Linked DNA regions of Macaca fascicularis. The protein of the gene in region 1 purifies or fractionates together with the protein of each later gene. This does not show direct contact. Links are inferred from orthologs where the notes say so. Each region holds a gene or a part of one and is shown on either strand. Other genes may lie near its edges. The genes, in order: KEAP1, IKBKB and MAP1LC3A.

Region 1 (10,269 bases):
AAGGTGGCGGGCGCCTGTAGTCCCAGCTACTCTGGAGGCTGAGGCAGGAGAATGGCGTCAACCCAGGAGGCGGAGCTTGCAGTGAGCCGAGATCACGCCACTGCACTCCAGCCTGGGCGACAGAGCCAGACTCTGTCTCAAAAAAAAAAAAATAATAATAAGTGGGGCATGGTGGCTTACACCTGTAATCCCAGAACTCTGGGAGGCCAAGTAGGGAGGATTGCTTGAGCCCAGGAGTTCGAGATCAGCCTGGGCAACATGGTGAAGCCCCAGCTCTACAAAAGAAAGAAAAAAAAGCAGGGGAAAAGAAAAAGTTAGCTGGGTGTGGTAGTGAGTGACTGTAGTCTCAGCTACTTGGGAGGCTGGGGCAGCAGGATCACTTGAGCCCAGGAGGTCAAGGCTGAAGTGAGCTATGATTGTGCCACCGCACTCCAGCCTGGGTGACAGAGCAAGACCCTGTCTCAAAAAAAAGATAAATAAATAAAATAAAAGAGGAGTCCGGGTGAGGTGGCTCACGTCAGTAATCCCAGCACTTTGGGAAGCCGAGGCAGGCGAATCACGAGGTCGGGAGTTCAAGACCAGACTGACCAACATGGTGAAACGCTGTCCCTACTAAAAATACAAAAAATTAGCCGGGCGTGGTGGCTCAAGCCTGTAATCCTAGCTGCTCGGGAGGCTGAGGTAGGAGAATAGCTTGAACCTGGGACTTGGAGGTTGCAGCAAGCTGAGATCGCACCACTGCACACCAGCCTGGGTGACAGTATGATACTCCGTCTCCAAAAAAAAAAAAAAAAAAAAAAAAAAAGAAAGAAAAAGAGAAAAGAAAAAATAGAAGATCTAGGTACATATCCATGCAGTAAATGTGTTGCTCCTTTTAACTGGCTGCATAGTATTTCTTAGCAAGGAAGTGCCACCACTGATTAAGCCAGGACTCTACAGAGGGACATGTGAATGGGATCCAGTCTTTTTGCCATGATATGCATTATAATGCAATAAATGTGTGTGCACATGCTTCCTCCTGTATGTGTGCGAGTGCACCTTGGATAAATCTCTACAAGCACCTGGCTCACCGGACCTGTAGGTTTGATTTTGAGAGATATTAGAAAGGTTGTTTTCTGAAACGTGCCAGGAGGGTGCTGGTTACAACCTTGGCCACTCAACGTCTTCACGGACTATCTGGGGCGCCCCCCTGAGGAGCTGTCTGGAACTGCAGACTGCAGCTACACGCAGCTACACGCAGCTACACGCAGCTACACGCAGCTACACGCAGCTACACGCAGCAAGGATTTCGGGTAGCCGGGTAACTCTAACATAGCCCTACACGTGATTCCTTCCAGAACCTGAGCCAGGACGTTCAGTTTTTCAAATTCACCCTGGAGGCTCCAGAGACCTAGAGTTTCCATTTATTATTCACTTACATGGCGAAACCCCATCTTTTTTTTTTTTTTCCCCTTTTGAGAGGGAGTCTCTCTCTGTTGTTCAGCCTGGAGTGCAATGGCAGGATTTCGGCTCACTGCAACCTCTGCCTACCCACCACTACACCCGGTTGATTTTTTGTATTTAGTAGAGACGGGGGGGGGGGGGGGGGGGTCTCACCATGTTGGTCAGGCTGGTCTCGAACTCCTGACCTCAGGTGATCCACCCGTCTTGGCCTACCAAAGTGCTGGGATTACAAGCATGAGCCACCGCGCCTGGCCTCTCTATCTTTTTAAAGTAATGATAATTTAGATGACATTTAGACGAATTCTTTTCTTTTTTTGAGAGGGAGTCTCACTCTGTTGCCCAGGCTGGGGTGTGGTGGCGCGATCTCTGCTCACTGTAACCTCTGCCTCCCGGGTTCAAGCAGTTATCTGCTTTAGCCTCCTGAGTAGCTGGGATTACAGGCGCCCGCCACCACGCCCTGCTATTTTTCGTATTTTTAGTAGACATGGGGTTTCACCATGTTGGCCAGGCTGGTCTTGAACTCCTGACCTCGTGATCCACCTGCCTCGGCCCCCAAAGCGCTGGGATTACAGGCGTGAGCCACCGCACCCAGCCTAGATGAATTCTTTAAAATAAACTTACAGGCCGGGCGCGGTGGCTCAAGCCTCTAATCCTAGCACTTTGGGAGGCCGAGACGGGCGGATCACGAGGTCAGGAGATCGAGACCATCCTGGCTAACACGGTGAAACCCCGTCTCTACTAAAAATACAAAAAATTAGCCGGGCGAGGTGGCGGGCGCCTGTAGTCCCAGCTACACGGGAGGCTGAGGCAGGAGAATGGCGTAAACCCGGGAGGCGGAGCTTGCAGTGAGCTGAGATCCGGCCACTGCACTCCAGCCCGGGCGACAGAGCGAGACTCCGTCTCAACAACAAAAATAAATAAATAAATAAAATAAAATAAAATAAAATAAAATAAAATAAACTTACATACATTTATTTAAAAGTTAATGTTACATGATGAACGGTGTACATGACAAATCAGTATCCCCAGTCATGAAAAATGGCAATGGAATGGTTTCTATCTCTTGGGCGCTAGTATTCACACTTAGGTTTATGTTATTTTATTTATTTATTTATTCATTTTGAGTCTGAGTCTCGCTCTGTCGCCTAGGCTGGAATGCAGTGGCGCGATCTCGGCTCACTGCACGCTCTGTCTCCCGGGTTCACGCCATTCTCCTGCCTCAGACTCCCGTGTAGTTGAGACTACAGGCGCCCGCCAACACGCCCGGCTAGTTTTTTTTTTTTTTATTTTTAGTAGAGACAGGGTTTCATAGTCTTAGCCAGGATGGTCTCGATCTCCTGACCTCATGACCCGCCCACCTCGGTCTCCCAAAATGCTGGGATTACAGGCATGAGCCACCGCGCCCGGCCCCGCATTTAGTCTTAATGATAATCTGGTAGATAGGTGCTATTATATTACTACCTTTTACAGAGAGGAAACTGAACCACAGAGAACTAAGTAAGCGCCTACTGGCACTGAACTGGCAAGAGGCAGATTCGGGGTTTGAACCCCCCCTAAAGACGGGTGCCACACGCCTTTTGATAGGAAGTAAATCAAAAATAAAGACAAGGAAGGCCGAGCGTGGTGGCTCACGCCTGTAATCCCAACACTTTGGGAGGTAGAGGTGGGCGGATCACGAGATCAGGAGTTCGAAACCAGCCTGGCCAACATGGTGAAACCCCATCGGTACTAAAAATACAAAAAATTAGCTGGGCATGGTGGCGGGCACCTGTAATCCCAGCTACTCGGGAGGCTGAGGCAGAAGAATTGTTTGAACCTGGGAGGCAGAGGTTGCAGTGAGCCAAGATCAAGCTACTACACTCCAGCCCAGGTGACAGTGCAAGACTCCGTCTCAATTAAAAACACACACACGCACACACGCGCACACACACACGGAAAACCCAGGGCCTGGACCCAACGCCTCACACCTATAATCCCAGAACTTTGGGAGGTCGATGGAGGATCTCTTAAACCCAGGTGTTCAAGACCAGCCTGGGCAACATCGCGAGACCCCCGTCTCTACAGAAAAAAAAAAAAAAAAAAACCTAAAAATTGGCCGGTTGTGGTGGCGCGTGTCTGTGGTCCCAGCTACTCAGGAGGCTGAGGTGGGAGGATCGCTTGAGGGCAGGAGCTCGAGGCTGCAGTGAGCCGCGATGGCGTTACTGCACTCCAGCCTGGGCGTGCAGATCCGAGCGAGACCTTGTCTCTAACGGAAAAGAGAGAGAGAGAGAGAGAGAGAGAAAGGAAAACAAGGAAGGAAGGAAGGAAAGAAGGAAAGCAAGAAGGAAGGAAGGAAGGAAGGAAGGCAGGCAGGCAGGCAGACAGGCAGACCCAGCGAGGTAGACAATTTTCCCTAGATCCTGTGGCCGCCAGACCACGAGGCAGGCGCTGTGCGTCGTTAAAAGAATAGCAGGTGGTGGCGCGCAGCCCCGCCAGGAGACGTCCGGCGAGGAAACCAGGAGATGGAAGAGACAGTGAGAAGGGGGGCCAGGCTGTGCGTCCCCGCCCGATGCCCCACTCCTCGCCGACGGGCGCCGGGCACCTGCGGGAAGGGCGGGAGAATCGCCGCTCCTTCCCCGCCGCGCCCTCTCCGCCCTCTCCCCGCCTCCTTTTCGGGCGTCCCGAGGCCTCTCCCCAACCGACAACCGAGACCCCGCAGGCCACGCAGCCCTGGCGCCGAGGCCCCCCGACGGCGGAGGCGCCCGCGGGTCTCCTACAGCCAAGGTAAGGCAGGAATCTTCCGGACCCGGCCGCGGACCCCCGGGCTTCCCGGAAGCGCAGTGTGCGGGTGGCATCACCGTACCCGGAGCCCCTGCGCGCCCCGGACATCCCCACCCCGAGGGACCCCCTACGGAGGCGACCCGGTGGCCGAGGTGAGCGCTCCGGCAGCAGCGACGGGGAGGGGTGTCCACCCCATCCCCGGTGCGGGCCGGGACGCGCGGGTCTGGAACTCGGGGTTCAGACTCCCCGCGACTCGGACCACGCGGCTGAGCGCGCCCAGGGCCGCGTGCCCCCGCCCCGCGGCCATGCTGGCAGCAGTGGTGGCCGCGCAGCTCGGCGACCGCAGGCGTGGGCGGGGGCTGGGGAGCGGCCCTCCGCGGTCCCTACCGCCCGAGGCCAGGGCCCGGGGACTTTTATTGTGACAAGGCGGGCGCCCGGCTCTGCTTAGTCATGGTGACCTGCGCGCGCTCCGCGCCTCCCCCACGCGCAGCGATGGAGGCGCCGAGGCTCGGCAGTGGAGGCGGAGCCGGAGCGCGGCCATGGCGGGGTGAGTGAGGCGGGATGTACCCGGGCTGCGGGCATCGCGGGCCGCGAGCGCCCCTGCGGTCGTGCCCGGAGACCAGGAAACCGGGCGCCACGGCTCAGGGAGCCTCCGAGTTCCCCACCAGGACTCGGAGGGCCAGGAGGGCGAGGCCTGGGTCCAATCTTTTTGTTGGACGGCGCAACTCTCGGGGTGGCCCGGGAGCGGCGGAAACCGAGCGAGAGAACCCGGAGGCGTGGAGCAGACGGAGGCCCGGGGCCTCCGAGGCGTTGGGGGGCTCAATCTGCGTTCTGGGATTGGCAGCCGAGACGCCGCGGCGGGGTCACTTCCTCGCCTCTCTGGGCCTGGTGGCGGCTCAGGAGGGGCATGCGCAGTCGCCCACTTGTCGCTTTGTAGGGTGGGGGAAGTGCCCGGTGCCCAAGGGGCATCGTTGACCGATTGGCCAAAGACCAAGACGCAAGCCCAGGGCCTTGGCACCGGAGGGGGGGCCGAGTGGCACCCAGGGAGGGTGGAGAAGGCCGCTCTGGCAGGCACGGTGGCACGGGCATTTAGCCAACCACCCGTGTACTGACCCCTGCGCAGTGCCAGGCCCCAGGCGGGAGGCACAGGAGAGGGTTGGCCCGACGCCAACCTACATAGGGTTCCCTGCCATTTGCGGCGCTGGGGCCGGGGACGAGAGACAGTCGATCAACAGACAAGCAAAGGAGGTCATTTCAGTTCCTGACAAGCTCAGTGATGACAATAGAACAGGGAAGAGGGGACTCTGAGTGGAGCCCCAGAAAGAGGGGAGTGAGAACTTGCAGATCCACTTGTGGGGAACCACTTGGAGATCCCCCACTCCTTTCAAAACATAACTCATGTCTGCGCACAGCAGCCTATGCCTGTAATCCCAGCATTTTGGGAGGTCGAGGAGGGGGATCACTTGAGACCAGGAGGTCGAGACCACCCTGGCCAATATGGTGAAACCCCATCTCTACTAAAAATACAAAAAATTAGCCCATGGTGGTGGCTGGTGCCTGTAATCCCAGCTGCTCAGGAGGCCAAGGTATGAGAATATCCTTTTTTTTTTTTTTTTGAGACCAAGTCTTGTTCTGTTGCCCAAGCTGGAGTGCAGTGGCGCGATCTCTGCTCACTGCAAGCTCCGCCTCCCGGGTTCACACCATTCTCCTGCCTCAGCCTCCCGTGTAGCTGGGACTACAGGCGCCCGCCGCCATGCCCGGCTAATTTTTTGTATTTTTTTAGTAGAGACGAGGTTTCACCGTGTTAGCCAGAATGGTCTCCATCTCCTGACCTCGTGATCCGCCCACCTCGGCCTCCCAAAGTGCTGGGATTACAGGCGTGAGCCACCGCGCGGGACTGAGAATATCTTGAACCTGGAAGGCAGAGGTTGCAGTGAGCCAAGATCGCACCACTGTACTCCAGCCTGGGCAACAGAGCGAGACTCTGTCTCGAAAAACAAAACACAAAACACATAACTCATCTCCTGGCCCTCCAGGCTCCAGGGGTTTCCATGAAACCCTTCCTTAAGTCCTTAGCTCTCACTGCACTCCTTCTCAATTCTCCAGATTGACTGTCTCAGCCTCTGAGCCACTGCACTTGCTATTTCCTCTGCCTGGAAAACTACTCCACAGCCTCCCACTTTATGATAATTTTCATCCTTGTCTCAGCTCTAACCTCACCTTCTCAAAGAAGCTTGGCCTGTCAGATTTTTAAAAACTGCACCCAGGGCCAGGCACGGTGGCTTACGCCTGTAATGCCAGCACTTTGGGAGGCCAAGGCAGGCGGATCACTTGAGGTCAGGAGTTTGAGACCAGCCTGGCCAACATGGTGAAACCCAGTCTCTACTAAAAATACAAAAACTAGCTGGGCGTGGTGGTGGGCGCCTGTAGTCCTAGCTACTCGGGAGGCTGAGGCAGGAGGATCGCTTGAACCCGGGAGGCAGAGGTTGCAGTGAGCCAAGATCGAGCCACTGCACTCCAGCCTGGGTGACAGAGTGAGACTCCATCTCAAAAAAAAAAAAAAAACTGTACCTGATTCTCACATTGTCACAATGCTGTTGTAATTTTCTTCATGAAGCTGATTTTCCAGGTCTTGCTTATTTTAGTTTATGATTGTTCCTCCCCACAGGTGTCAGCTCCAGCAGGTAGGATTTTTGTGTGTTTTGCTCACTGCTGTGTCTTCAGCACCCAGATCAGTGCCTGGCATACAGTAGGTGCCCAACAAATGGTGAGGCGAATGAAGGAATGAGCCCGACATGCTCTAGAAAGGGAAAGGCCACCAGATTACTGAAACAGAGTGATCAAAGGGAAGAGGTGGCAGGGGCTAATTGCGTAGGGCTTTGCAGGCTGTTGAGGAGTTCAGTTTTACTAGGTACTGTGGGAGGCATTGGAGGATCCAGAGCAGGGGAGAGACATGACCTCATCTATGTTTTAAGATGGGCTCTTGGGCTGGTCAGGTCAGGGGGATGTTTGCAAATTTGCAAATGGACTCTGCTTCACCTACTCTGCAGGAAAACTGACCTAGGAATTGCTTTATCTTACAAAAGGAGACCCTGCAGGTGCTGGCCCAGCCCCAACCCGTGCCCCCTGCCCTGTGCTCTCTCCCCTCCAGGCCCCTGAGTGCCAGAGGTGGTGGTGTTGCTTATCTTCTGGAACCCCATGCAGCCAGATCCCAAGCCTAGCAGGGCTGGGGCCTGCAGCCGATTCCTGCCCCTGCGGTCACAGTGCCCTGAGGGGTCAGGGGACGCGGTGATGTATGCCTCCACTGAGTGCAAGGCGGAGGTGACGCCCTCCCAGCATGGCAACCGCACCTTCAGCTATACCCTGGAGGATCATACCAAACAGGCGTTCGGCATCATGAACGAGTTGCGGCTCAGCCAGCAGCTGTGTGACGTCACACTGCAGGTCAAGTACCAGGACGCGCCTGCCGCCCAGTTCATGGCCCACAAGGTGGTGCTAGCCTCATCCAGCCCCGTCTTCAAGGCCATGTTCACCAATGGACTGCGGGAGCAGGGCATGGAGGTGGTGTCCATTGAGGGTATCCACCCCAAGGTCATGGAACGCCTCATCGAATTCGCCTACACGGCCTCCATCTCCATGGGCGAGAAGTGTGTCCTTCACGTCATGAACGGCGCTGTCATGTACCAGATCGACAGCGTTGTCCGTGCCTGCAGTGACTTCCTAGTGCAGCAGCTGGACCCCAGCAATGCCATCGGCATCGCCAACTTCGCCGAGCAGATTGGCTGTGTGGAGTTGCACCAGCGTGCCCGGGAGTATATCTACATGCATTTCGGGGAGGTGAGCGGGGAGGTGGGGCTGGGGGCAGTGTCAGGAGAAGGACCAGGGATGGATGAGTGCTCATCACTGTCTCCCCTTGAGATGTGAAGGCAGGAACCTGGAGGAAAAGGAGGTTCTGGGCTGGGCACGGTGGTGTAGTCCCCACAGTTTGGGGGGCCTAGGTGGGGGGATTGCTTGAAGCCAAAAGTTCAAGACCAACCCGGGCAACATAATGAGACCCTGTCTCTAAACAAACAAACAAATAAACAAAAAACAACTGGGGGCCGGGCGCGGTGGCTCAAGCCTGTAATCCCAGCACTTTGGGAGGCCGAGGCGGGTGGATCACCTGAGAATGGGAGTTTGAGACCAGACTGACCAACATGGAGAAACCCCGTCTCTACTACAAATACAAAAAAATTAGCCGGGTATGGTGGTGCATGCCTGTAATGTCAGCTAGTCGGGAGGCTGAGGCAGGAGAATCACTTGAACCCAGGAGGCGGAGGTTGCTGTGAGCCAAGATCGCACCATTGCACTCCAGCCTGGGCAACGAGAGCGAAACTCAGTCTAAAAAAAAACAAAAAAAAAAAACTGAGGCCAGCCGTGGTGGCTCACGCCTGTAATCCCAGCATTTTGGGAGGCTGAGGTGGGTGGATCAGCTGAGGTAAGGAGTTCAAGACCAGCCTGGCCAACATAGCGAAAACCCATCTCTACTAAAAATATAAAAATTCGCCAGGCCTGGTGGTGCGCGCCTGTAGTCCCAGCTGCTCAGGAGGCTGAGGCAGGAGAATCACTTGAACCCGAGAGGCGGAGGTTGCAGTGAGCCGAGATCAAGCCACTGCACTCACTCCAGCCTGCGCGACAGAGCGAGACTCAGTTTCAAAAAAAAAAAAAAAAATTAAAAAACAACTGGGGTTCTGAGTTCCTTGTCTACGCGTGTGGGGACACTGGTGAACAGCTGGGGAAGGTGAGGTCTTCATGTGTCTCTGGGCTCCCTAGTTTCTCTGGGGTCAAAGGTGGGGACAGAGTGCAGTGAAAAGCAGCCAAATCCTGGGGCAGCCCAGCCTTTCGGACAGTCAGCAAATGTTTATTGAACACCCATTACAGGTTGCAAGCTGTAAGCCTGAACCTTAGTCATGTTTTCTTTGGTCCACGCAATGTCCTTACCATTTTTGGTTTCATTTTCGTTTCTCTGAAGGAAATTATCTATAGAAATTGATAAGAGAGGGCAGGGCCCAGTGGCTCATGCCTGTAATCCCAGCACTTTGGAAGGCTGAGGCGGGTGGATCACCTGAGGTCAGGAGTTTGAGACCAGCCTGACCCAATGTGGTGAAATCCCATCTCTATTAAAAATACAAAAAAAAAACTAGCCAGATGTGGTGGCATATGTGGTGGCATAGTCCCTGCTACTTGAGAGGCTGAGACAGGAGAATCGCTTGAACCGGGGAGGTGGAGGTTGCAGTGAGCCGAGATCGCACCATTGCACTCCAGCCTGGGTGACAGAGCGAGACTCTGTCTCAAAAAAAAAAAAAGCCCTGGCTCAGTGGCTCATGCCTATAATCCCAGCACTTTGGTGACGCCCCGCCTCTACTAAAAAACAAAAAATTAGCCGGGCGTAGTGGTGGGCGCCTGTAGTCCCAGCTACTCCAGCTACTCGGGAGACTGAGGCAGGAGAATGGTGTAAACCTGGGAGGCGGAGCTTGCGGTGAGCAGAGATTGCGCCACTGCACTCCAGCCTGGGCGACAGAGCGAGACTCCATCTCAAAAAAAAAAGATTTTAAGACCAGCCCTGGGTGCAGTGGCTCATGCCTATAATTCCAGCACTTTGGAAGGTGAGGGGAGTGGACCACTTGAGGTCAGGAGTTCTAGACCAGCCTGGCCAATATGGTGAAACCCAGTCTCTACCATAAAAATATGAAAATTGGCTGTGCATGGTGGCACACACCTGTATCCCCAGCAACTCAGGAAGCTGAGGTGGGAAGATCGTTTGAGCCCAGGAGTTTAAGGCTGCAGTGAGCTATGATCGTGCACTCCAGCCTAGGTGACAGAGCCTGTCTCAAAAGCAAAAACAGTCCAGGTCCGGTGGCTCACACCTGTAATCCCAGCACTTAGGGAGGCTGAGATGGATGAATCACCTAAACTCAAGAGTTCAAGACCAGCCTGGCCAACGTGAAGAAACCCCATCTCTACTAAATACAAAAATTCCAGCCTGGCCAACATAGTGAAACCCCGTCTCTACTAAAAGTAAATACA
Region 2 (10,316 bases), on another chromosome or scaffold:
GGTGACTCAGAGCCCCAAATCGTTGCCTTTTCTTGTTTCTGCCTAAGTTTGAGGCACAACAGCCTGGCTGGCCCTGCTCCTCTCAGTTTCTTGATTGGCCCAAGTCCAGTCACAGAGACAGCAGCTGGCCAATTTCCTTCCCTTCCTCTTCTGCAGCCAGAAGGGGAGCCCAAAGGGTCTGCGGTAAGGTTCATTCTCACCCTCGTCTCCACCAGCCCACCCTCATCTCCCACCAAGGTCCCCAGAACAAGGTCCCCAGAACAAAGAGGATGTGACTTCTTCATATCCTCCGACTAAACTAGTTTCTCCAACTTTTCTGGCAGAGGAGTTTTTGTTTGTTGAAGAAGCAAGTCCTGACCTGTAGAGTCCTTTCTCTGCAGGGCTGGGATAAAACAAAATCAGATGGGTCAAGAAAGAGTTGCTGAAATCGCTGAACCAGAACTGACTGTGGGGGCTGGGGTGCTGGGGAAATCCTCCCCATCCTCTGTGGTCTGCCTTACGGCCTCTTATCTTTCAAGCTGTCTTCTTCTATGATTCAGCTCCAGGTTGTGCAGAAAACAATGATTTCTTCACTCGGAGGAGCTCAGTGTTGCTGCGCTTCATTGCCATCAGGTGAGAGAGCAGAGTCTGATCAGTGGATGACATAAAAGACTGAGTAAGAAGACAGTTATCTTTGACTTACTCTGGGAACAAGATTTCATTTTAAATTTAACAGTGCTCAGAAACCTTATCCTTATCACTAGTACTGTCAGAAGCATTTGAACCAGAGCAACTCCATCTTGAATAGGAGCTGGGTAAAATGAGGCTGAGATCTACTGGGTTGCATTCTCAGATGGTTAAGGCATTCTAAGTCACAGGATGAGATAGGAGGTCAGCACAAGATATAGGTCATAAAGACCCTGCAGATAAAACAGGTTTCAGTGAAGAAGCCGGCTTTAACCCACCAAAACCAAGATGGCCACGAGAGTGACCTCTGGTTGTCCTCACTGTTATACTCCCACCAGCGCCATGACAATTTACAAATGCCATGGTAATGTCAGGAAGTTACCCTATACGGTCTAAAAAAGGGAGGCATGAATAATCCACCCCTTGTTTAGCGTATCATCAAGAAATAAACATAAAAATGGGCAACCAGCAGCCCTGGGGGGCTGCTCTGTCTGCGGAGTAGCCGTTCTGTTATTCCTTTACTTTCTTAATAAACTTGCTTTCACTTTACTGACTCACCCTGAATTCTTTCTTGCACCAGATCCAAGAACCCTCTCTTGGGGTCTGGATCAGGACCCCTTTCCTATAACGGTACTGTACTGTGGTACTAATTACTGCAGACCAAATTCGTGTGTGATTTGATATTGCCTGGCCTTTGTCTGTCCTTACTTGATGGCTCTCTGTGGGTCTTAAAAACCCAGTAAGATTCTAAGTGCTTCTGATGAGATCTCATTCCATTGCTTGGATCCCCTGGGTCAGTAATGCCCTGGGCTGAGCTAGGCACTCTGGCTGGTCAGTATTTCTTGATTTCCCTATAGCACAGCTAAATAGCACAGTCAGCCTCAAAGCAGGAAGAAAAAGGGACCTTTTTCTGCTGAATCTGAAAATATCTTTTGTAAACTGTCTGCTCATGTCTCCAGAGGAGGACAGAAACCAGATGCAGGCAGAGATATCTAAACATGTCTTATCTGGATAGAAAATTGAGCTTAAGATAATAAATATCTTGGAATATGATAAAACCCAGAGGCCCCTTCCTGGGCCATGATTAACTGAAGAAAAAAAAGTCTAGTAATACGTGACCTTATCAGAGAGATTTATGTTCCGTTGAAAGCCAAGTTATTTTGAGCTGAGCAAAATGAAGATTCAAATTACAGGAGCGCAGAGTAAACTTTTGGCATATTAGCGGATGTCTCGGTAAGTTTCTCAGGGACAGTGTTTTTCAGAGATGATAGGATTAAAGAGAACTTTTTTATGACATGGTACTGGAAATAGACTCTCCACAGTGCCCAGCACATACAGATGCTGAATAATTTTTTTTTCTTTTTTTTTTGAGACGGAGTTTCCCTCATCGCCCAGGCTAGAGTGCAATGGCACGATCTCAGCTCACAGTAACCTCTGCTTTCTGGGTTCAAGCGATTCTCCTACCTCAGCCTCCCAAGTAGCTTGGATTATAGGCACGCACCAGCATGCCCAGCTAATTTTTTTTTTTTTTTTGTATTTTTAGTAGAGATGGGGTTTCACCATGTCAGCCAGGAAGGTCTTGATCTCCTGACCTCATGATCCACCCACCTCGGCCTCCAAAGTGCTGGCATTACAGGTGTAAGCCACTGTGCCTGGCCTAATTTTTGTATTTTTAGTAGAGACGGGGTTTCACTATGTTGGCCAGGCTAGTCTTGAACTCATGACCTCAGGTGATCTGCCTGCCTCGGCCTCCCAAAATGCTGGGATTACAGGGGTGAGTCACTGCACCCGGCCTAATTTTTTTTTTTTTTTCCCGAGATGGAGTCTAGCTCTGTTGCCCATGCTATAGTGCACTGGTGCGATCTCCACTTACTGCAACCTCCAACTCCTGGGTTCGAGCAATTCTTCTGCCTCAGTCTCCCAAGTAGCTGGGATTACAGGCACTCGCCACCACGCCCAGCTAATTTTTGTATTTTTCATAGAGACAGGGTTTCACCATGTTGGCCAGGCTGGTCTCAAATTCCTGACTTCAAGTGATCTGCCTACCTCAGCCTCCCAAAGTGCTGGGATTACAGGCATGAGCCACCTCACCTGGCCAATACATATTTTATTTAAAAAAGTTACTTATTAAGCAAACACTTATATTGCATTTAGACAATGCAGGCACTATTCTACTTGTGTTACAACTATTTACTCATGTTCCTGTTGCTTCCAGCCTTGAGGCTGAGCTTGCCATTTAGCTGGGAGTAATCAAGAAATGCCAGGTCAGGAGCGGTGGCTCACACCTGTAATCCCTGCACTTTAGGAGGCCAAGGTGGGAGGATTGCTTTGAGGCCAGGAGTTTGAGCCAACTCTGAGCAACATAGTGAGACCTCGTCTCAACAAAATAAAATTTAAAAATTAGCTGGTCATGGTGGCGTGTGCCTGTAATCCCAGGTAGTGGGGAGGCTAAGGTGGGAGGACCCCTTGAACCCAGGAGGTCAAGGCTGCAGTGAGCATCCTGCCACTACACTCCAAAGTGGGCGATAGAGAGAGGCCCTGTCAAGAAAGAAAAAATAAAGAAAAGGAAAGGAAAGGAAGAAAGAAAGGGAAGGGGAGGGGAGGGGAAGGGAAGAGAGGAGAGGGGAGGGGAAGGGAGGAAAGGAAAGGAAAGAAGAAAGGAAGGAGAAAGAAAGAGAAAGAGAAAGAAAGAGAGAAAGGAAGGAAGGAAAGGGAAGGGAAGGAAAGAAAAGAAAGAAACTAAGTAGCCAGGACGGGAAGAGAAGGGAAGGGGAGGGGAGGGGAGGGGGGAGGAGGAAGGCAGGCAGGCAGGCATGCATGCAGGAAGGAAAGAAGCAAGGAAAAGAGAGAACGAGAAAGAGAAAGAAAAAGAGAAAGGAGAGGAGAGAAGAGGGGAGGGGAGGAAAGGGAAAGGAAAGAAAGGAAGGAGGAAAGGTAGGGAAGGGAAGGGGAAAGGGAAGGGGAAGGGGAAGGGAGAAAGAAACTAAGTAGCCTGGAAGGGAGGGGAGGGGATGGGAGGGAGGGGAGGGGGAAGGAAGGAAGGAAGGAAGGAAGGAAGGAAGGAAGGAAGGAAGGAAGGAAGGAAGGAAGGAAAAGGAAAGGAGAGAGAGAAAGAAAAAGAAAGAGGAGAGGGGAGGGGAGGTGAGGGGAGGGGAGGGGGAGGGAAAAGAAACAGAGCAGCCAGCTTGCCTAGCACAGCCCTGGACACCACTGACCCCTATGTTTGGGTTGAGATCTGTCCCTGAGTTAACTTCAACCCCAGGGCTGTCAGGCACTGCTGCTATCAATATCTCATTTGTCCCTCACAACAACTCTGGGGTGGCCTCCTTTCTATGACTTTCTGTGAGCCCGCCTGTCCCCCTGCTATTACAGTGAAGCAGATGAAACTGCTGATCTTTGTCACTGATGTTTTGGCTGTTTTCAATTTCCAAAAAATGACAATTAAATGCAATTCAACCTAATACTGCCTAAATTTTAAAAGAGGAAATAGATGCTCAGAGTGTTTAACAAACCAGCCCCAGTGCCTCAGAGGTAGTCAACAGCAGTATCTGAATTCAAAATCCAGTTTGCCTCCCTCTGAACTTAACATGCTACTTTTAACCACCCATTTAGAACCCGGGAACCAGTTGCTAGAGTTTGAGTATCAGTTCATCTACGTAGCAGCCCTGTGCCTTGGAAATAATAATAATGCAGACCAGGTGCGGTGGCTTACACCTGTAATTCCAACACTTTGGGAGGTCCAGGCGGCTGGATCCCTTGAGCCCAGGAGTTCGAGACTAGCCTGGGCAACTCAGTGAGTGAGACCCCCGCCACCAGGTATGGCGGCCATGCACCTGTAGTCAGGAGAATCATTTGAGCACAAGAGTTGGAGGCTGCAGTGAGCTGTGATCACACCACTGCACTCCAGCCTGGGTGACAGAGCGAAATAATAATAATAATAATAAATAATAATAATAATAATAATAATAATGCAGTATTGTCCAATTTACAGGGTTGCCCTGAGGATTGAGTAAGGAAATCTAAGTTCAGAGATTTAGAACAGAGCCCTGCACTGTGTAAGCACTCTATAGATGTGAGCTATTATTATCATCTTCAGGTTCCTTTGGTAGTTTTTTCCTGCTTGAATAAAATATAGCAACACACACACACACCTCCTTTGTCCACTAATGTAATGCCACAAAACGGAGGAACTCAGCAGGGAGGACATTCTGACTCCAAGCAGAAGGAGATGAATGATGAACCTTAGGCTGTGCGCCTCGCGGTTTCCTCCTGTCACTGGGGGTGGGGCTGCAGTTTGGCTTCACACTTCTAGGTCTTTTCTTATTTTTAAGGGGGCGGGGGCTGTCACCTCTGAGGAGTCAGCTGTGATTGATCCTTCTCCACACCCAGCCAAGCACCCCCCACAGACAGGGGAGCGCCCGCAGTAGGGCGGGCGGCAAGGGCAGTTATAGCCAACAGTCCCTAAATCATCCCAGCAGGGGCGCGGGAAATTCCACCGAGGTGAAAGCCTAGGCGGCCGGGTGAGGAAATCCCCATGCCCGGGCCCAGAAACGGCTCCAGGTGGAAGTCACTTGTCTAAAGAGAACAGGGCGTAACGGGGGTCATTTCAGGGCTGTTCTTTTAAATCGGTGAGCACAGTCTGTCCACTTTCCCTCAGTTTATTCTAGAGGCCACACGCCACCCCCGCCCCCGGGAAGTCGCCCGGTTGCGGGTCCCGGGACAGGCCCACCTGGCCCGCGGCGCTCGCAGCATCCGGACCTGGTCAGCCTCGCGCCCCTCGCGGCCACTTTAAGAGCGGCCGCGGCCCACGTGCTCAGTGATGTCAGAGCAGGAAGTGTTTGAGGAAGTCGCGCCGCGCTGCCCGCGTTAAGATTCCCGCATTTTAATGTTTTCAGAGGGGTATCAGAGCCCAGGGTCCGGCCGCCCCAGCCCCGCCTCCCCCGCCCCGGGGAGCCCTCCCCCTGCCCCGCGTCCCTGCCGACAGGTGAGTCCCCCTCGCGGGTGCGGCCCGGGTGCCACCTGCAGGCCCCGCCGCTCCGCTGCCTGCAAGGCCCAGAAGACCCCTCTGTGCCGCTGGAAAGTCGCAGCTTGCGGACTGGGGAGGGTTTCACTCGTGCGGATTGGAGTTCGGGAAGCCGGGAGAAACAGCCCTGGCTGGGATGGCTTCTTGGGGGTGGGTGGCTTTGAGGGAAACCTGCGATTTATGGGAACGTTGTAAAGAAACACGTGACCGAGGGGACGCTCAGAAGTAGGTTCTGTCCCTGCCACCTCGGGCAGAAGGCGGGCAGGCCCGGGCGCCCCTGGTGGAGTCCGCCGGGGATCCCCTCGCTGGGGCAGGGGCGTGGACATCGCCTCCCTCGGTGACTTTCTTCCCTGCCTGATGCCACAGCAACCGGATGGGGGAGGGTGAGAGGGACAAAAGTTTGCCACAAAGTTTGGACAAACCAAACACATTAGTTTCTTTACAAAGTAAAAAACCAGTTGTATTTTTCTTCTCTCCCATTCGAGAGCAGTGGTATCTCTTGCCTTCTCCATCTCTTTGAACTCCATTTTTTTTTCTTAATCCTAACCTTTTTTCCCCATCCCAAATTGCTTACAGAGTTAGCACGACATCAGTATGAGCTGGTCACCTTCCCTGACAACCCAGACATGTGGGGCCTGGGAAATGAAAGAGCGCCTTGGGACAGGGGGATTTGGAAATGTCATCCGATGGCACAATCAGGTAGGCCCTCTGTGCAGCTTGGGGAGGGGTGGGAAGCCAGGCTCCCTCCTCACTGCCTCCACTTTCTCTGATCCTACTGGGCCAAGGGCTCACCTTTGGCTTTGGTCATCTTGGGACAGTGAATAGGGGACTGGGAAGAGGGCTTCAGGACTTCTGAGCTGACTCCAGGTTAGTGGTCTCCAAGCTTTATTGACTATGTCACCTAAATAAACAGTAAAATAAAGATAAGCTCTTAGTCTGTATTTTATATATATATATGGTTACAGTAGAATATCATGTACTAATATATACTGATATATGTTATAAAACATACAGAAATAGGAAAATTTAAAGGATGAGGATAATTAAATAGTTTAAAATATTTTAATTCCTTGAAGCCAGGAGTTCAAGAACAGCCTGGGCAACATAGCAAGACCTCGTCTCTACAAAAAAGTTTTAAAAATTAGGCAGCCAGCTGGGCGTGGTGGCTTACACCTGTAATCTCAGCACTTTGGGAGGCTGAGGCAGGCGGATCACGTGGTCAGGAGATAGAGACCATCTTGGCTAACACCGTGAAACCCCATCTCTACTAAAAATACAAAGAATTAGCCAGGCTTGGTGGGACGTGCCTGTAGTCCCAGCTACTTGGGAGGCTGAGGCAGGAGAATCGCTTGAACCCAGGAGGCGGAGGTTGCAGTGAGCGGAGATTGCGCTGCTGCACTCCAGCCTGGGCAACAGATTGAGACTCCATCTCAAAAAAAAAAAAAAAAAAAAAAAAAAAAATTAGGCAGCCATGGTGCGTACCTGTAGTCCCACTACATTGGAGGCTGATGTGGGAGGATTTCTTGCCCAGGAGTTTGAGGCTGTAGTGAGCTATGATTGTGCCACTGCACTCTAGCCTGGGTGACAGAGGGAGACCTTGTTTCAAAACCATTTTTTAGAAATTATTTAAAATGTCAGGTACATTGGCTCACGCCTGTAATCCCAGCACTTTGGGAGGCCTAGGAGGGAGGATCACTTGAGGTCAGGAGTTTGAGACCAGCCTGGCCAACATGGTGAAACCTCATCTCTACTAAAAATACAAAATTAGCTGCTGTGGTGGTACGTGCCTGTAACTTCAGCTACTCAGGAGGCTGAGGCAGGAGAATCGCTTGAACCCAGGAGGCGGAGGTTTCAGTGAGCTGAGACAGTGTCACTGCATTCCAGCCTGGGCTACAAAATGAGACCCTGTCTCAAAAAAAAAAAAAAGTATTTATAATATTTGCCAATTATGATGTCTTCCCAGTATTGCACGGTACAAAATAAGCAGATCCACATGAAAGTGAGAATTATTTTAATTTTGTAGAGATGGGGTCTTGCTATGTTGCCCAGGCTTGTCTCGAACTCGCGTCCTCAGGCAGTCTTCCCGCCTTTGCCTCCCAAAATGTTGGGATTACAGGCCTGAGCCATGGGACATGGCCTCAGCTGAGGTTTTTTTTTTTTTATTTTTTGTAGTGATGGTGGTCTCTCAATGTCCAGGCTAGTCTAGAATCCCTGGCCTCAAGTGATCTTCCTGCCTTGGCCTCTCAAAGTGCTGGGATTACAGCCATGAGTCATTGAACCTGGCCTGTTTTTATTTTTAATTGACACATAATAATTGTTACATATTTATGGGGGACAGTGTGATATTTTGACACCTAATGTGTAATGATCAAATCAGGGTAATTGGCATATTCATCACTTGAAACACTTATCCTTTTTGTTGGAAACAGTCAAAATTCTTTCTTCTGGCTATTTTGAAATACACAATAATTTTTTTTTTTTTTTCCCGGAGATGGAGTCTAGCACTGTTGCCCAGGCTGGAGTGCAGTGGTGCGATCTTGGCTCACTGCAACCTCCGCCTCTCGAGTTCAAGTGATTATCCTGCCTCAGCCTCCTGAGTACCTGGAATTACAGGTGTGCACCACCATGCCCGGCTAATTATTGTATTTTTAGTAGAAATGGGGTTTAACCATGTTGGCTGGGCTGGTCTCGAACTCCTGACCTCAGGTGTTCCGCCCACCTCAGCTGCCCAAAGTGCTTGGAATACAAGCGTGAGCCACTGCGTCCGGCCTGAAATGTATAATAAAGTTTTATTCACTGTAGTCACCCTGTTGTTCTATAGAATACTATAACTTATTCTACCTAACTATAATTTTGTACCCATTAACCAGTCCCTCCCTATTCCCCTCCACACCCCAGCCCCCACACCCTCACCCTTTCCTGCCTCTGGTGACCACTGTTCTACTTTCTACTTCTGTGAGATCAGTCTTTTGTTGTTGTTGTTGTGTTTTTGAGATGGAGTTTTGCTCTTGTCATCCAGGCTGGAGTGCAATGGCGCGATCTTGGCTCACTGCAACCTCTGCCTCCCAGGTTCAAGCAATTCTCCTGCCTCAGACTCCCGAGTAGCTGAGATTACAGGTGCCTGCCACCACACCTGGCTAATTTTTGTATTTTTAGTAGAGATGGGGTTTCACCATGTTGGCCAGGCTGGTCTTGAACTCCTGAACTTAGGTGATCCCCCCCCGCCTCAGCCTGCCAAAGTATTGGGATTACAGGTGTGAACCACCGAGGCTGGCTGAGATCAGTTTTTTTTTTTTTTGAGATGGAGTCTCGCTCTGTTGCCCAAGCTGAAGTGCAGTGGCACAATCTCAGCTCACTGCAACCGGCATATCCTGGGTTCAAGTGATTCTCCAGTCTCAGCCTCCCAAGTAGCTGTGATTACAGCCGTGCACCACCACACCTGGCTAATTTTTGTGTTTTTAGTAGAGATAGGGTTTCACCATGTTGGCCAGGCTGGTCTCGAACTCCTGACTTCAGGCGATCTGCCTGCCTCGGCCTCCCAAAATGCTGGGATTACAGGCATGAGCCACCATGCCTGGCCTTTTTTTTTTTTTAATTTTTAATTTCTTTGGAGACAGGGTCTCAATCTGTCATCCAGGCTGAGAGCAGTGGTGCCATCATGGGTCACTGCAGCCTTGACCTCCTGGGCTCAAATGATCCTTCTGCCTCAACCTCCTGAGTAGCTGGGACTGCAGGTATGTGTCACCACGCCCGGCTGATTTTTTGTGTTTTTGTAGATAGGAGGTCTCTGTTGCCCAGGCTGGTCTCGAATTCCTGGACACAAGTGATCCTCCCACCTCAGCCTCTCAAAGTGCTGGTAATCCCAGGTGTCAGCCTACTGATTTTAACCAACTGAGATCTGTTTTTTATTAGCTCCCACAGATGAGTGAGAACATGCGGTATTTACCTCTCTGGGCCTGGCTTAATTCCCTTAATGTAATGCCCTCCAGGCTCATCCATGTTGCCACAGATGACAGGACTTCGTTCTTTTTTATGGCTGAATAAGAGAGTCCATTGTGTCTGTGTACTACATTTTCTTTATTCATTTGTTCATTGATGGACATTAGGTTGACATTTAGGTTGATTTCATATTTTGGCCATTGTGAATAGTGCTGCAGTAAACATGAGGGTGCCAATATCTCTTTGATAAACTGATTTCCTTTCCTTTGGATAGATACCCACTAGTGGGATTGCTGGATCATATGGTAATTCTATTTATAGTTTTTCTTTTTTTTTTGAGACGGAGGCTGGTCTCAGGCTCTGTCACCCAGGCTGGAGTGCAGTGACATGATCTCGGCTCACTGCAACCTCTGCCTCCTGGGTTCAAGCAGTTCTCCTGCTTCAGCCTCCAAGTAGCTGGGATTACAGGTGTGTGCCACCACACCCGGCTAATTTTTATGTTTTTAGTAGAGACAGGGTTTTGCCATTTTGGCCAGGCTGGTCTCGAACTCCTGACCTCAGGTGATCTGCCTGCCTCAGCCTCTCAACCTGTTGAAACTAAGGCGTGAGCCACTGCGCTAGCCTTATTTGTAGTTTTTCAAGGAACCGCCATACTATTTTCCATAATGGCTGTGCTAATTTACATTCC
Region 3 (9,489 bases), on another chromosome or scaffold:
GCTGCTCTCAATGGCCCTGGTCACACTGAATCTTCTGTGGCACTGTGTGTGTGAGGTTTGTCCAGTTTGACACACAGCTCTGGATCAAGAGTCGGCAAACTAAGGCCCTCAGCCAAGTCTGTCTGTTTTAGCAAATAAAGTTTTATCCAGATCCAGCCAAACCCATTCGGGCTGTCTAAGGCCACTACAGCAGAACCACGTGGCTGCCAGAGACCATGTGGCCTGTAAAGCCTAAAATATTTACTGTTTGGCCCTTTAAGGGAAACGTTTGCCGACTACTCTCCATCTTTCATTAAACAGTGTGTGGTTCTGTTATGGGAACACAAGGCAAGCTATTGAATAAGACATTAGGTGGTTCCCAACTTTTTGCTATTATGAAAATGTTACAATAAACGTTCTTACCCTTGTTTCCCTGGGCTCCTGGGTGCACACACTGGAATTCCTGGTCTGTAGGAAAGACATGGGCATCTTCAGTTTGGGTCGATTTTGCCAAACTGCTCTCCAGTGTAGCTGAGGTCACTTACACTCCCAGCAGCGGCGGAAAGAGCCCATCTTTACGTTCCTAGTAAGTGTCCTCAGCCTTCAGTATTACCAGTCTTTCACTGTGTGTAGTTTCTCTCTGATTTCCTGGCTGTGAGTGACAGGTTTACTCCTTTTGTTGTTTTGGTGCTCTGGACCCCCGTACAATACTGAATTGTGTTCACTGGCCATTTGTTCCTGACTTTTAAGGGAATATTTCATGTTTCACCACATAGTATGGTGTTTTACCTTTGAGTACATGTTTACTGTAGGTTGGGATTTTGTTTTGTTTTTTTTGAGACACTCTCGCTCTGTCACCGAGGCTGGAGTGCAGTGGCGCGATCTCAGCTCACTGCAGCCTCCACCTCCAGGGTTCAAGCAATTCTCCTGCCTCAGTCTCCCGAGTAGCTGGGACTACAGGCATGTACTACCCATGCCCAGCTAATTTTTGTATTTTTAGTAGAGACGGGGTTTCACCATGTTGGCCAGGATGATCTTAATCTCTTGACCTCATGATCCGCCTGCCTCGGCCTCCCAAAGTGCTGGGATTACAGGCATGAGCCACCGTGCCCGGCCTGTTTTTGTTTTTTGAGATGGGGTCTCGCTCTGTCGCCAGGCTGGAGTATAGTGACACAATCTTGGCTCACTACAACCTCCACCTCCCTGGTTCAAGCGATTCTCATGCCTCAGCTTCCCAAGTAGCTGGGATTACAGGTGCGTGCCACCACACCCAGCTAACTTTTTTGTATTTTTTTTTTTTTTTTTTTTTGAGACAGAGTCTCGCTCTGCCGCCCAGGCTGGAGTGCAGTGGCGTGATCTTGGCTCACTGCAAGCTCCGCCTCCCGGGTTCACGCCATTCTCCTGCCTCAGCCTCCCGAGTAGCTGGGACTACAGGCGCCCGCCACCTCGCCCGGCTAGTTTTTTTGTATTTTTTAGTAGAGACGGGGTTTCACTGTGTCAGCCAGAATGGTCTCGATCTCCTGACCTCGTGATCCGCCCGTCTCGGCCTCCCAAAGTGCTGGGATTACAGGCTTGAGCCACCGCGCCCGGCCACTTTTTTGTATTTTTTTGTAGAGATGGGGTTTCACCATAGTGTCCAGGCTGGTCTACAACTCCTGGGCTCAAGTGATCTGCCTGCCTTGGCCTCCCAAAGTGCTGTGATTACAGGTGTGGGCCACCACACCCGGCCTATTTTTTGTTGTTGTTGTTGTTGTTTTGTTTTTGTTTTCAGTTTTTTTTAAGACGGAGTTTCGCTCTTTTTGCCCAGGCTGGTGTGCAATGGCACAGTCTCGGCTCACTGCAACGTCCACCTCCCGGGTTCAAGCGATTCTCCTGCCTCAGCCTCCCAAGTGGCTGGGATTACAGGTGTCTGCCACTATGCCCAGCTAATATTGTATTTTTAGTACAGATGGGGTTTCACGAGGTTAGCCAGGCTGGTCTCGAACTCCTGACCTCAGGTGATCCACCCACCTCGACCTCCCAAAGTGCTGGGATTACAGGTGTGAGCCACCATGCCTGGCCTGTTTTCAGTATTTTTTGTTGTTTTTCTGAGACAGGGCCTCTGTCACTCAAACGATCCTCCCACTTCAGCTTCCTGAATAGTTGGGACTATAGCTGTGTGCCACCAAAGCCAGCTAATTTTTTTCTTTTCTTTTCTTTTTTTTGAGACAGTCTCACTCTTGTCACACAGGCTGGAGTGCAGTGGCGCAATCTCGGCTCACTGAAACCTCTGCCTCCTGGATTCAAGCAATTCTTGTGCCTCAGCCTCCCAAGTAGCTGAGATTACAGGATGTGCCACCACACCTAGCTAACTTCTATATTTTTAATAGAGACGGGGTTTTGCCATGTTGATCAGGCTGGTCTTGAGCTCCTGGCCTCAAATGATCTGCCCACCTCAGCCTCCCAAAGGGTTGGGATTACAGGCATGAGTCACTGCGCCTGGCCTAATTTTCTCATTTTTGTAGAAACCGGGTCTCACTATGTGGCCCAGGCTGGTCTCAAACTTCTGGGCTCAAGTGATTCTCCAACCTGGGCCTCCCAAAGTGCTGGGATTACACTATTACTCCTTTTTAAATTTCTTTGACACTCTGCTCATTGATTCTCTGTATTTATTATCTAAGTAATACATCTATGTAATAAGGCTATAAATCTGAATTTTTTTTTTAAGAAATGGGTCTTATTTTGTCACCAAGGCTGGAATGCAGAGGTGCAATCACAGCTCACTGCTGCCTTGAACTCTTGGGCTCAAGCAATTTTCCAGTCTGGGCCTCCCAAAGTGCTGGGATTACAGGTTTGAGCCACCACATCCAGCCTGGTATGGGCCCCCCTCCCAAGTTTTCTTAATATATGTATCCTCATTTTTTTTTAATCTAAATAATTTTTACTTATATATGAGTTCATATTTAGAACAGGTTTCAATTTCCACACAGTTGGAGCTTACATGGTTTTTGCCTGTGGCCAAAGAATATGGTTGAAACTGATTTGATATCTGTTGAGATTTGTCGTGCACCCTAGTAGTTGGGTCATTTTTGTAAATGTTCCTTCCGTGATTGAAAGTAATGTGTTGGTCCCACACAGGTCTGAAATTTAAATTTTAAAACTTAAAAAATTAACGTGTCAGGTTCAGGATTCTATTGGGCTTCACTGATCAGGATTAGCAACTGTATTAACATCCTCTATGTCCTTAGTTTTTTTGGTTGTTCCGTTTATTAGTTATTCAAATAGGTCTTATGTCTCCCACTATGATGGAGGACTTGGCAATTTCTCCTTGTATTCATATATATATATAGAGAGAGAGCAACATAGACAGAGTCTATATATAGACAGAGTCTTGCTTTGTCGCCCAGGCTGGAGGGCAGTGGCGCAATCTCGGCTCACTGCAACCTCCGCCTAGCAGGTTCAAGCAATTCTTGTGCCTCAGCCACCTGAGTAGTTGCGATGACAGGCGTGCACCACCACGCCCGGCTAATTTTTGTACTTTTAGTAGAGACAGAGTTTGCCACGTTGGCCAGGCTGGTCTTAAATTCCTGGCCTCAAGTGATCCGCCCACCTCGGCCTCCCAAAGTGCTGGGATTACTGGCATGAGCCACTGCACCCAGCCTATTTTCAGCCTTAAAAACCCTGGAACATAGAAGTTCAGAACTTCCCTCTCTTCACAGAGCTACTCGCATCATTTCATGGTGATCCTTTGTCCCCAATGTCTTCTGCCTGAAGGCCTATTTTGTCTGAGTGAATTTCTATAGGTACATATTTTGGTTAGTTTTTCTCTAGTACACCTTTTTCCATCATTTTACTTTTGGTGCCCTTAGATTTTAAATGTCCTCTTGTAAATAGCATAGAGCTGCATTTTATTTTTTCTTGGCCAATCTGGTCATCTGTGTTTTAAGAGGTGAACGTAAACCACATTTTCTACCTCTGGTTTTGTACTATATATTTACCATCCCTTTTACTTTGCTTCCTTTTTCTCCTTTTCTGGCGTCCATTATAGTTTGTATTCTTTTGATGATCCCTCTTAAATATCTGAAATACACACCTGACTTTACAAAGCCAGACAATGCTTAGTCTCTTTATCCCCCTCTCAAATCGAACTTCCTAAAACACCTTAACTCTGATTGCCCTCTCAGTCTCCCATGTTCTTCTGTCTCATGCATCTTGTTTCTGTGGCCCACAGATTATCCATTATTCATGTTGCATATTAAATACTTGTTTAGATTTACTGACATGTTTACTAATTTGCTCACCATTTTTCCATCTAATTTCTTCCTTTTGGGTTCCATGTCTTTGATACTGAAGTACATTCTTTAAAAATTATTTTGGCGGCTGGGCGCAGTGGCTCACGCCTGTAATCCCAGCACTTTGGGAGGCTGAGGCGGGCGCATCACGAGGTCAGGAGATCAAGACCATCCTGGCCAACATGGTGAAACCCCATCTCTACTAAAAACATAAAAAGTAGCTAGGCGTGGTGGCAGGCGCCTAATAATCCCAGCTCCTTAGGAGGCTGACTGAGGCAGGAGAATCGCTTGAACCAGGGAGGCGGAGGTTGCAGTAAGCTGAGATCGCACCACTCTAGCCTGGCGCAAGAACGAGACTCCCTTTCAAAAAAAAAAAAAGATGTTGATCTTCGGTCTGTGCCTTCTGCTCTGGATTTTAAGCATCATTTCTGGCAGCTCTCATTCAGGAACTGCCTCTGCAGGTCTTTCAGTGCTCGCCTGTGGAGCTCTGCTCCGGCCTGCGAGTTCTCCTGGCGTTGCCATCCGTGGCCTTTTCCTTTTAATTCTCCATCACCTGTCCTCTGGTAAGCTGCTTGCTATCAGCCTCCAGGTCCACGATTTCTCTTCTGTTGTCCTGCTCTGCCTTCTTGCCACATCCTCTGAGACCTGAATTTCGATAGCTCTACTCTTCAATTATATTATTCTTTTTCAAACCTGGGCGTTCATTTCTAGCGTCTTGCTCTATCCTGTGTCTGACTGTGCCTCCCGCACCTTCTCCCTTCTCTTGCCCTGAGCCCCCTTGAAGGCGCCGGGCCTTTGGCTCCCGCTGTTTCCCACGGTGCCCAGAACCGCGGGTCAGTCCTGACACAGACTCGGTGAGGGCAGGAAGTGGTGCCACGGGGCTGCAGCCTGGCCCACCCGCTCCATCGGCCCAGGGCGGCCCCACCGCTCTCCCGGCCTCACCAGAGTCGGGGCCACGGGAGAGGCTCCCGCGCTGCTCATGACGTCACGGGACTGTGACGCGCCCAGGAGCCCCGCCCCTTGTGTCCCGGGCCGGGGACCCAGGCTCTCTGCGCCGTGACGTCACGGGTCCGGGCGGGCGGGTTGTGCGTCGGCCCAATGGGAGCTGCGCGCCGGCCTCCCCTTTAAGGAATGTTGTGACCTGACGTCACCGGGCGAGTTACCTCCCGCAGCCGCCGCCGCCGTGCTCAGCGCGAGCGCCGGAGCCCTTGAGCGCGAGGCACGGAGCCCCCGGAGCCCCCAAACCGCAGCCACATCTCCGCGCCCCAGAGCCCCGGCCTGCGCGCCCAGCCGGGCCCGCGCGATGCCCTCCGACCGGCCTTTCAAACAGCGGCGGAGCTTCGGTGAGGCCCGGCAGGCGAGCTGTGAGCTCGGGGTAGGGGTGCCGGGGAGGGGGGGTGCCCGGCCGACCCAGACTGCCGCAGGTGACGTCAGCCCCGTGACGTCAGGCTTCGGCTGGACCCTCGGGCTGGGAGGCTGGCTCCGGCCTGGGCGGGGGCTGCCTGCTTCCCCACCACGATAGGTGCCAGGGGCTGTGGGGCCTGACGGCCCCGGGGGCGGGGGCTGGAGCTGGGGCGTGGCCGGGGGCCGCCCCTTGGGGACAGGCAGGCGGAGACGTGGGGAGGACCTGGGCCGGGCCGACCCGGCCTCACGGTCTGGCCGCTGTCCGCAGCCGACCGCTGTAAGGAGGTACAGCAGATCCGCGACCAGCACCCCAGCAAAATCCCGGTAAGTCCTGCGCCCCCAGCCCTGCCCCGGCCCCGCCTCGCGCGTCCCCGACACAACCCCCTGCCCGCCCGCCCTGCTCCCAGGTGATCATCGAGCGCTACAAGGGTGAGAAGCAGCTGCCCGTCCTGGACAAGACCAAGTTTCTGGTCCCGGACCATGTCAACATGAGCGAGTTGGTCAAGATCATCCGGTGCGTGGGCAGCCGCTGCCAGGTGGTGGCTTGGGTCGGGAAGGGAGACGGGTTCCCGCCGAGAAGGGGTCAGGGGTGATGGGACCGGTGGTGGACCCCTGTTCTGGGGCGGCTGGAAAGGTCAAGGTCGGGGCTGCAGTCGGTGCCGGGTCAGAGGTGACAGGTGGGGTGAGGATGGGTGTAAAAGGCTGGGAATCATTCTGGGGGTCAGGGCTACGTTGCCCCGTAGCCAAGCCCCTTACAGCCACATACTCTCCCGCCTGCCTCAGGCGCCGCCTGCAGCTGAACCCCACGCAGGCCTTCTTCCTGCTGGTGAACCAGCACAGCATGGTGAGCGTGTCCACGCCCATCGCGGACATCTACGAGCAGGAGAAAGACGAGGACGGCTTCCTCTACATGGTCTACGCTTCCCAGGAAACCTTCGGCTTCTGAGCCAGCAGTAGGGGGGTCGGCCTGGGAGTGGGGGGGGCCCGGTCAGGCCCTGCCCAGAGAGCTCCTGGTTCCTGAACTGAGCTGCCTCTGCCGTGGTGGGCTGGGCAGGCATGTGCCCCCCTAGTCAGAGGGCAACCCACCTACTCTGCCCCTGGGTGGATCCTGGGCCGGTTGTGTTAGGGTTGTCCCTCTGGGTGCTGGCTGGGATGGGGGAGGGTTGGGAGCAGCCCCCAGCACCCCGCTGTGTGGTTCATCTTTTTTTTAGGCCCCTGCCTGTCTGCCCATCTGCCCCTCACCCACCCAAGGCTCTGCCCACGCCTGGACCTGCCCACCCCTGAAAGACTGGCCCCTGGCTCCCCGCCCCTCGGTCTCCACATGGTGTATGGATCTGTGGTCATTGTCCCTCTGCAGAATAAAGATTGCTCAGGCCTGCCTGGCCCTGTGCCTCCAGCTGCTTGCTTGGGAGTGGGAAGGGTGCTGGTAGGGCTGTCTGCACCATCCCCGGGCTCTGGCGCACAGACTTGTGTTCTGTGGCCTCAGTGCTTGCTGTGGAAACCCACACCTGTGTGTAGTGTTCAGAACATTAGGGGCCACCCCTCTAGGAGTGCAATGCAGATGTGGTCTCAGGGTAGACTTCATAACAAAAAACATTTATTAAGTAGCTACAACCTAACAAGCCCTGCTCACCTGCCTCTTCTCCTTCCTGCCTGGGAGGGGGCTCCTTGGTGTGCAGAGCCACGAAGTGGGGGGGTCCAAGTTGGGGAGCTTCCAGTTCTTCCCCACAGGCCTTACTATCAGCCATGGGTCTCTTGGTACCAGAGACTTGTGACCCTGGACTCGAACCTCTTCTGCCCGAGCACTCGCCTGCTGGCAACTCTGACTGGAGGGCTTGGCCCAGCTTCTGGCCCCTCAGCCCCCTGAGGTCCACAAAGCCCTGTGCCAGCCAGGCCTACTTGAGCACAAGCATGGCCTCTGTGCCGTCCTTGGCGGTCAAGTAGAGGCCGTGTGTGAGGTAGTACTCCCGCCGCAGGAAGGCATAGAAGTAATCAGAGATGAGCAGGATCTGGGGGGAGAGAGAGGATATGAGGTGCTGCAGGGTATCTCCCCGTGAGCCCAGGATCCCTGAACTGCTAGCATGTGTTGGAAGACAGGAGAGCCCCTGCCTGGCTCTGGATCACAATCACTGGAGAGGCCCTGCCCAGGGCCCCCACCTCAGGGCCCAAACTTGACCCTGCAAGGTCTGTTGGCCTCTCAGAAGCTGTCCAGACTTCCCCGGCCCCCACCCATGGTCTACACCTCCATCACAGGCTTTGGTCTCAAATGCCAGCCTGGTGCCTGTGCAGCCAGAGGCCTCTGCCCCCTCTTCCCACAGCCACTTCCACCCCAGCCAGGTCCACATCAAACTCCTCACCTTCCCTCTGTCAAATACACTTCTCCCACTGGGCACCCATGCCCCCATCTTCCAGCCAAGTGCCCAGGCCATAAAATTGCCCTGACACTTCTCTCATACATCAAGCCACCATGACCTGTCAATTCTACCCCTTAAACTCAAATCCACCCTTTCGATCCAGCCCCACAGTCACTACTCTGGACAGAGCCACTGTCATCTCCTAAACAACAGCAAAGCTTGGTCCCTGGGCTCCCTGCTCTCAAACCCACGCCCACCCCATTCTTCCTGGCAGCCAGAGGGAGCTTTTCAAAACCTACATCTGATGGTGTTACTTCCAGTCTTCAAATCCTCCAAAGGCTTCCCATGCCTTAGGGGGAAGCTCGAACTCCCTGGTGCTCTGAGACCTTGCTAGGGTCCCTGCCCACCCTCTCCTGGCTCCACCTCACCCCACTGCAGGATCCTTACTGTTTCTTCTGCATGGAACGTTCTCTCCCCGTTCATCTAGTCGACAGCTGCTTACGCTTCAGGTCTCAGGATCACTTGCCCCCCAGATTAGGTCTTGGCCCCACTAATCTCTACTCAATAACAGACTCATCCAAAGCACAATTTTTCCTTCAGCTGACAGCCTGATTGTGCCTCCTCCCCTGGCCCAGGGCCTCCATCAGGGCAGGGTCTTCGAATGGTTCTGTCACTATGGTATCTCTGTGCCCAGCTCAGTCTGTCTGTCCCATTCCGGGCCACACGCAGAATCAAAGGGGGCCTAGAAGCTCAGCCCACTGTCTCTTCAAGGAGGCCCAGAAAGGAACAGGGATTTGCCGAGGGCCCTGTACACCAGACCCAGAGTCTGCGGTCTCGGTCAGCCCAAGCTTCCCAAGACCACTGGTCCCTGGAGCAGGTTGGGCAGGGCCCAGCCTCAGAGAAGGATGAGCGGATGGGCTCACACTGCAGACACTGCAGCTCTCAGGCACCTGGAGACCTCAGAGGATTGGCACCAACCACATGGCACAGATGGGGAGACTAAGGCACAGAGCACTTGGCTATGGTCTTGGGGCAAGACAGGTTGAGCTAAGCCTGGGATCTAGACCTCCAGACCCTGTCCTGGGCAGCTTCTCACTCACCTGAAGGTAACACAACAGCAGCTAAAGAGAGATCAGAGGCGCCTGGAGTTCAAGAAGGTGTCCTGTCACCAGCAGCTCTAATGGCCTCAGGACAAGTACCTGCCATTCTATCACCACAGAAGCCCATCTGGAAGGTTTAACAATCCTCATCTTCAACAGATGGGCAAACTGAGACTCAAAGTGTTCAATGGTTGGCCTAAGGCTGCACCTGGAGCACTGGACTAATGGCCATGGACCCAGAAAGGTGGTCTGCCTGGGGCCCAGATCCCTGAGGAGCACCAGATTGGTCAGTGTCAGAAAAGCAGACAGAGCTCAGGCAGCCCCTGAGGCCCGGCCCCCAGCTGCCCAGCTGGCAGCTCCAGGCTGGCCCATTGGGGGACA

What was found.
Region 2: the proteins of KEAP1 (region 1) and IKBKB purify together in Homo sapiens (affinity purification with western blotting; 7 studies listed by BioGRID and IntAct, with this or other methods). This does not show direct contact. The link is inferred for Macaca fascicularis from reciprocal best matches to the Homo sapiens genes KEAP1 and IKBKB.
Region 3: the proteins of KEAP1 (region 1) and MAP1LC3A purify together in Homo sapiens (affinity purification with mass spectrometry; 3 studies listed by BioGRID and IntAct, with this or other methods). This does not show direct contact. The link is inferred for Macaca fascicularis from reciprocal best matches to the Homo sapiens genes KEAP1 and MAP1LC3A.

The regions. Positions count from the first base shown.
Region 1 is NC_088393.1:11,055,442-11,065,710, reverse strand, and holds the start of KEAP1 (kelch-like ECH-associated protein 1), read left to right. Parts: upstream 1-3,916; 5' UTR 3,917-4,355; intron 4,356-4,719; exon of another isoform or gene 4,720-4,750; intron 4,751-7,354; 5' UTR 7,355-7,401; coding exon 7,402-8,040; intron 8,041-10,269. UniProt on the Homo sapiens protein: Substrate-specific adapter of a BCR (BTB-CUL3-RBX1) E3 ubiquitin ligase complex that regulates the response to oxidative stress by targeting NFE2L2/NRF2 for ubiquitination.
Region 2 is NC_088382.1:45,783,152-45,793,467, forward strand, and holds the start of IKBKB (inhibitor of nuclear factor kappa-B kinase subunit beta), read left to right. Parts: upstream 1-5,481; 5' UTR 5,482-5,839; intron 5,840-6,265; 5' UTR 6,266-6,283; coding exon 6,284-6,388; intron 6,389-8,180; exon of another isoform or gene 8,181-8,302; intron 8,303-10,316.
Region 3 is NC_088384.1:90,594,281-90,603,769, forward strand, and holds MAP1LC3A (microtubule-associated protein 1 light chain 3 alpha), read left to right. Parts: upstream 1-5,402; 5' UTR 5,403-5,553; coding exon 5,554-5,614; intron 5,615-5,922; coding exon 5,923-5,978; intron 5,979-6,061; coding exon 6,062-6,168; intron 6,169-6,437; coding exon 6,438-6,600; 3' UTR 6,601-7,038; downstream 7,039-9,489. Other genes in the region: PIGU (phosphatidylinositol glycan anchor biosynthesis class U protein), read right to left, coding at 7,550-7,663. UniProt on the Homo sapiens protein: Ubiquitin-like modifier involved in formation of autophagosomal vacuoles (autophagosomes). While LC3s are involved in elongation of the phagophore membrane, the GABARAP/GATE-16 subfamily is essential for a later stage in autophagosome maturation.